Linked DNA regions of Daphnia pulex. The protein of the gene in region 1 purifies or fractionates together with the protein of each later gene. This does not show direct contact. Links are inferred from orthologs where the notes say so. Each region holds a gene or a part of one and is shown in the gene's direction. Other genes may lie near its edges. The genes, in order: uncharacterized protein LOC124196242 and probable protein BRICK1-B.

Region 1 (4,498 bases):
GTGATTATGACAAGTTATCCCAAAGAACTAAACCATCTGTAATCTTTTAGGAAGTGATTTAAAATGCCTCTGCCAAAAAGAGTCATTTCTCCCGTTTATGTGTCAAGGGACACATTGCCTGAACACCTCCAACTTCCAAATGACTTGGAAGGAGTCACCAATGGAACATTGGCCAATATTATCCGACAACTCTCAAGCCTTAGCCATCATGCCGAAGACATGTTTGGTGAGCTTTACAAGGAGACCGAGGCCCTCCATATTCGTTCTTCCAGCTTACAGGCCAGGATAGATAGACTGGCAGTCAAAGTCACTCAACTGGACAGCACCGTGGAGGAAGTCTCACTGCAAGACATCCACCTTCGCAAAGCCTTCAAAAGCAGTGTGGTTTTCGATCAGCAGGTTGTCTCTAAGCTGACTATTCCCACAGCGATGGCAGATACATACCATCACTGTGATAAACCCCCACCTCTGGACAAGCTCAATGTATACCGGTAAGCATAATGACTACTTTGATATTTTTAGCATGTATAGAACCCTAGCCGGGAGCCGAAATCTCAGCAGGGGGTCACGAGGCCTCCGACCATAAAGCAGAACGTGACCAACTTGGCAATGTCATCATTCCAGATAATGAAATCACACGTAATAGCCAATGCTGTTAATACGTTTGTTAAGAATCGTTGGCGCAAATCGTGAGGTATGGCTGCAGGACGCGTACAGGGCATACGCTAGCCGGAAGTTGGTTACGCTTATGCTAGCAAATCGTCCGTGTGAACGAGGCGAGGGATAAAGCGAAAAGATGGGAGTATCGGCGTTGTATTATCTTGTGGGAGATACACCGGCCGGTTGGTGAGATTTCCGAACGGCCGTCGTCAGTCGAGTGGAATCATGTTTTTTCCCCCTGCAGCTTTGCCGTAATCTAAAAGCACTTGCGGCCACCAAGTCTCTCTCTCTCTCCTTGGTGCTATAGAGATGGTGAGAAAGTTCTATATTGAGAGAGAGAGAAAAAAAAAGAAATAATAATAATAAGGGGGGAAGCGAATGGAGGTTGATTCGATTATGACGACTTGTTAGGCGAGCGAGCAGCCAGGGCGCGGTAGCCGGGCCTTGAGCTCTGTGTTTCTATTAACGCCCGACTGGGGAATCTCATATCGACCAGGGCGTATGCCAGTGTGAATGTATAATAGATGCCTCATTGCCGGCGGGATGCGAGTCAGATTGCATTGCCGGCCAACAACTATCCAACCGGGCGTTGGACTCGGGACTCTAGTACGTCGTTGTCCGAGCAACGTGTTATTGTTATTATTACCCTTTTCTTTTTCGTGTGTGTGTGTGTAAAGCAATCGCCTCGTGTAAGGTTCTTGTAAATTGATGGAATGGCTGCCAGATGGGACTGGTTTTGCGTATGACGAGTCCGCGGATACCGGTAGGGAAAACCGTCTCGTCCTCATTCCCAAAACGCAAAATATTATAGGTGTTTCTGCCGCATCCTCCCGTTTGTCGTCCAGACCGGACTGGACTGGGTGGCTATGGCCAAAAAAAAATTTCACGGACCGGTCCAGTGTGCCTGCGGGAGTTACTAGTTGAACCGGAGCAACCTACAAACCTAATACACCACCACCCAATCCGTTCTCCGAGAAGAAATGCGCTGTTACGCGAGTCCAGCTGGCGTGTTATGTTTGGTCTCCTCCCATCTCTAGTTAGTTTGTTTTTTCTTTCTCTCTCTTTCCGTTCTTGTAGTCGTCGATTGGTCGCATTGTTACGGTGCTTCAGTCGATCGTCTTCAGCCGTGCCGAGCGGATTGGTCCCACTCGCAAGTCCTGTGTGACATCTATTATCTACCACTACTAGCAGTGAAGGAAAAGGACAAGCAATCAGTGTCGTGTGTATCTTTGCCCGAAATTGAGAAACCTAAAGCGAAATCGAGCGAAAAGGCATTACGAAACGGATATCGAACAAGAACCCAGCGGGGAGGGATCGCGATTAGCTTTTATGTGGTGGTTGTGTCCTCGGTGCCAGAGACTCGGCGTTTTATGACGCGATTTACTCGTAATTTCTCTTGAGAAAAGGCGTCCGTGAGACCTGGACGCACGCAAGTTCGCCGAGCCACCTGTTGTACACTTTTGTCGGTCAATTGAACTGGACCGACGACGACGAAAGAAGTTGGTGACCCAGATGCGTTTTTGATACCGAGGATGTGCGGAAGCGAAATGAAAGAAATTGAATCACATCTTTAATCTAGTCTGCCTTGAGTGAGTGAATGAGTGATGTCTTGCAGTTTGTGCCCATCGACCCAGATCCATCCGGACGATAATAAGCGAAACGCCGGAAGCTCTAATTGTTGCTGGTTTGGAGAGGAGGGCCTGTACCATTGGCAGGCGATCCAGCCGCAACACCAACAACAAGGCGATTCGTGGGTTTTCGGTCTGGAGGACCAATTCTTTCCGCTCTCTCCGCCGGAAGCAGAGCCGGCGGAAGCAGAGCCACCAAAGGAAACCAGTGCCATCGAAGGGTTGACTGATGAGTTTCTGCAGTTTCTCGAAAAGCGGTTAGCTGAAGTCGATGTGGAAAAGGAAGATGATACAGTTCTCCCAGATTTGCCCGTTATCGAAACCCCTCCGACATCCTCGATCGAAGCCGCAAAGCCCATTCCACCCATCCGCCGGCGTCGTCTCCAGCGATCCGTTTCTCTGCAGGCCGTCAAAGTTACCCCGCCACCGTTAGTCCGCGGCAGGCATGGCGGAGAATTTACCGATGTTCGTCCGGACGTTGGAATTGGTGGACAACAGGAATGTAACAAATCTCGTACGCTTAGCCGGGGTGGCAGCATAGCCAGCGATTTGATTCAACGAGTCAAACGCTGGGCTGCCGTGACGTCGACATTCCGACGTGCCTTTCGCAAAGTTAGCCCACATCGAGCTCCCCTTCAAACGTCCTTTACGACCGCCGTTCCGACAACCTGGTCCATATTATTCCAATGAACTTTTTTTCAGTTTCTCAGCTCAAACTGGTATTTAAAATATTCTGATGATGATATCTCTTTTGCCTTTTTTAGGGACGATGGAAAGGACGGGCTCAAATTCTACACGGACCCGGATTACTTCTTTGACTTGTGGCGACAGGAGATGCTCAAAGACACTGAGCGCATCCTCAACGACAAGGGACGCAAGGTATAGACATTTATTTCGTCTTTCATTTTAAATACAATTGTGACCTAGAGAGAGAAAGCCGGTCTCTTGCCAATTTACATTCACCTGCCACTCAACCTCCACCAACCGGTCGACATGTATCTTGTCGTTGGAATAATGAGGGCCGTATAAACGGTTCATTCTTTGCTTTATTAGAATTTTTTTCTTTTCTTGAGGGGGGAAATGATGAAGAGTCGATAAACGATCTGGGTCGGTGACGTTCGTGAATTCTCAGACCGTTCTCAGCGGAACGCACGTTTAGTAACAGCGGAGGGAGGGCTATATATCTGTAACATATTTTCTGCAATAACGTCCTAAACATAACAGACAGAAAATGTTTTATTTTTCCTGTTATGGAATCATTCAAGCTTAAAATTAGGTTAATGAATAATTCTGTACTTTCCCTCGTTTATTTTTTACGAGCTACAACATCCAAATGTTTGGCCATTAGCATTAGTATCGAATAGAAATCATTGCTGTCTTGTGGTTTCAAAACAACTGTAACACTAAATAAAAAAAACGACAAAAATCATTATTTTGACTTTGAACATGCTTCTCAGTATGCGGATGGCACTCCGTCCGAGGCAAGTTCTCTTTTCAACCCACATCTACCGTCGAATTTCCTTTTTTTCTTTTTCTTTTTTTCTTTTTTGCTTTGAAATGTTGTGCGATCAACAACTGATATTTTGTACCGTTTCACAGCCGCATCGAGGCAGAAATGATGGCGGCGGTGGTGGCGGAGGCGGAAGCAGCGGAGGCGGTCGCCACAAGAAACGGGTCCGGCAACCGCACAACACTCGGGAAAAGCACCGTGAGCTGGCCATTAACAAGGGCGAGTACATTAGCCCACAGAACGCGCTGTATCAGTCGCCTCAGGTAATACTGCCCGTACAAAACAATTGTCAACTATTTTCCTAATGCCTTTTGCCAATGTGGTCTTGCCAAATTAAATTTCACAGGCGTTGTATTTGGAGGATGGAACCATGTTACCGGATCCCAGTTCAACATCACGGCCCCCGCGCCCTAACAGCATTGAAGTGAAACGTAATTACCCTAGCGAAGAGGCCATCTACGCATCCAGGAACTCGCGTAATCCGCAAGACAATGTGTACAGGTCGGTTAAATCACACGTTTTTTTACTTTTGTTGGCTGTCTGTCAAATGAAATTGATGTTGTCAACGTGTGAGAGGGTGTTGGCGTCAATTTTATTTGTTCCCAACAATTGTCATCGGTCTCTTTGCCTCTATCGTGTGCTTGGAATTTCACATTTTAAAAATGTTGTCGCTTCATGGCTTGTCTCCATCTGTCGCTGG
Region 2 (2,658 bases), on another chromosome or scaffold:
AAAAGTGCAGGGTCTCGTTTATCAACGTCCAGATGACCCCCACCCAGTTTTTAAAGAGGACCAGTCAACAATTTTCATAGAAAAATGGCATCTGGTCTTCTGCGCAGCTGCCATTTAACACCAACGGCAAAACAACAAAAGATTGTCAAAATCCAAGGAGAAACATCAAACAATTTGATCAGAGGCCAAAAAATTTGTCATTTCCTTTTCCGGTTTTGACCAGAGTGCGTAGTCGTGAGGGTATCATCACGAACCAAACATTCGTATTGTTGCCAATGATTCCTAGCTAGTAGTTTATACAAAGTAACGGATAATCTGTTTTTATTTTGCTTTTGACGACGACGAAACGTGTGATAACGAGCATCACCTTGAACACGACTCGTAGACCGTGATAAGGAAAACAGCAACCGAATGCTTCCGGTGGCTTCCGACCGCAGAAAGCCCTTCTACCTTATTGCGTCTAAACTTCTTCCCAACTCAGAGACTCGACTCATTTCCTATATAATATGTACGAGAGCGACTGTTGCTATTCGCCCTTTGCATTTCGGCACTCTAGGGGATTCGCGGTTTGTGATCATAAATGCACGTCAATGAGTGAAAACATATCAATATATACAATCCAAATCAACCACACACGATGTAGAATCTAATAATAATCAGAAAAAAGTGAGATAGTACCTTTCACTTGTGAGTCGAGTTCCCACAGAAACTCTTTGTCTTTGCGTGCCATTTTCTTGGCACTCTCTGGCGGGACGACCGTTTGTTGTTGGACAGCAGATGAGACCGGCGCCGAAATGTTGAGGACGATTTTGTTGGCCGACATTTCACACGTAATGAAGAGACTAGCAGCACACACGGCCAAAGATGGAGAGAGATGGGGAAGTCTCTCTGACGCCAACTTCTTACACGGCACAGCAGCACATACAGACGACACACTGGCAGAAGCTTTTTATTCTTTTCTCCTCTCTGATTTTTGTGTGTGGGGGAGTGAGATCAAACGCCCCACCCTGACATCTTGATAGAGAGTCCAACTTTTCGGTTACTTTTTTCTGTCGTGCCAAGAACGCCTCGTCGCTTTTCGAGTCAAACACTATAACGTCAAACGGAGAGATCGAAAAGAGGCGGCAAGTTGAACGAGACGGTTGAAAATCCAAACTAACGCAAGCAAGGCACATTTCACTTTGACTTACCCCTATCGCGTCGTCCCACCTCCACACACAATGCTCCTCCTTCCTTGCCCAGCTGCAGCCGTTCGGGCTCAATGGAGATTTTCAATAACAGGGCTACGCTCGCGTCACCTAGCGGCTGTACTCAGCAACATGCCTTCTGATTACTTTGTGTTTTAATCGTTTTCATAAAATCTAAAGGTGTTGGCCGGATTTTAATACTTGTTTTGAAAATTTTAAATTATTCTCGATTTATTAATTGTATTTTTCATCTGTTTTAATCGTATTTTCAATTTCCGTACGATTGCGATGGTGAAGCGTAGCTAATGGAGCTGATTTGACAGTTCACAACACAAACAAAGTTGGGAAAACATGTCGACGAAACAAACCCTTCAAAAACAAACCCAGCAAGATTGGGCCAACAGAGAATACATTGAAGTCATCACCAGCAGCATTAAAAAGATTACCGATTTTCTCAATTCTTTTGGTAGGACACTACAAACTGACAAATTTTAGTTTCATCGTAAAACCCGTTTCCTTGCACATGCCCACACAGATATGTCTTGCCGAGGACGACTAGCAGTGCTCAACGAAAAAATCACCAGACTAGAAAGAAAAATTGAATACTTGGAAGCCAGAGTAATATTTTTCAATATAAATGTGATCATGATTATTTAATTTACCATTTTCATCATTCGTCCATTGTAGGTAACGAAAGGCGACACCCTGACATGAAGCTTCCCAAAACACAGTACAAATTTGCCTTCCCTTTTACTCTAAGCCCTTTTTTTTACACATATTTGGTCGCATTAGTTGAATAGACAGTGCATCACTTGATGAATTGATTCATTATTACTGTAATGAAAAGACTCTTTAAAGATTCTTTGTATCACTCCTTCTTTGCACTTATTATAGTGTTAGGTTAACTACTACTGTGGAATGCAAAATACTTCTTGATTCTGGGAATGACAAAAATGTGCTACTATCGTGAAATCAAAACAAGTCCAACTTGTTTAGATTTTTTTTCAAAGTCCAAGAAACTGGTTTAATTTTCCACTCCTCTTATCATTAGGAACTACTCAAAATGCTAGTCATACATGGTCAACAAAGTGTTCCCCTTTCTACAAGATTCAAAGATCCCAGATAATTTTTTCACTCACTTCAATAACGAAAGCGAAATTGATGTTGGCCTTTAAAATGTCTCGCATGAATGACGTCTATACCTCAGAAGTGGTCCCTGTCATTTTCTGCGGTGCCCCACCAACGTACTCATTCAACCACAAATAGTTATTATGGAGCACACGATACTTTGGTCAGGAGAGGGAGACCAAAAAACTGGCGAATATCTAAGGCAGCGGAATACGCCGTGTGGTCAAAAAGTTGGAACGACGAAATATCGCCTGAACATGGATTGAGTTGTACTTTTTAACAGGTATCCTGGGAAGTAAACCCGTCGCGTCATTACGCAAGCTTCCAAACAAAGTATAAATCA

What was found.
Region 2: the proteins of uncharacterized protein LOC124196242 (region 1) and probable protein BRICK1-B purify together in Drosophila melanogaster (affinity purification with western blotting; 4 studies listed by BioGRID, with this or other methods). This does not show direct contact. The link is inferred for Daphnia pulex from reciprocal best matches to the Drosophila melanogaster genes SCAR and HSPC300.

Annotation. Positions count from the first base shown.
Region 1 is NC_060022.1:717,445-721,942, reverse strand, and holds the start of uncharacterized protein LOC124196242, read left to right. Parts: upstream 1-1,373; 5' UTR 1,374-2,264; coding exon 2,265-2,959; intron 2,960-3,052; coding exon 3,053-3,167; intron 3,168-3,887; coding exon 3,888-4,061; intron 4,062-4,144; coding exon 4,145-4,299; intron 4,300-4,498.
Region 2 is NC_060018.1:1,420,582-1,423,239, forward strand, and holds probable protein BRICK1-B, read left to right. Parts: upstream 1-1,516; 5' UTR 1,517-1,538; coding exon 1,539-1,653; intron 1,654-1,722; coding exon 1,723-1,805; intron 1,806-1,874; coding exon 1,875-1,901; 3' UTR 1,902-2,003; downstream 2,004-2,658. Other genes in the region: SLIT-ROBO Rho GTPase-activating protein 1-like, read right to left, coding at 679-823.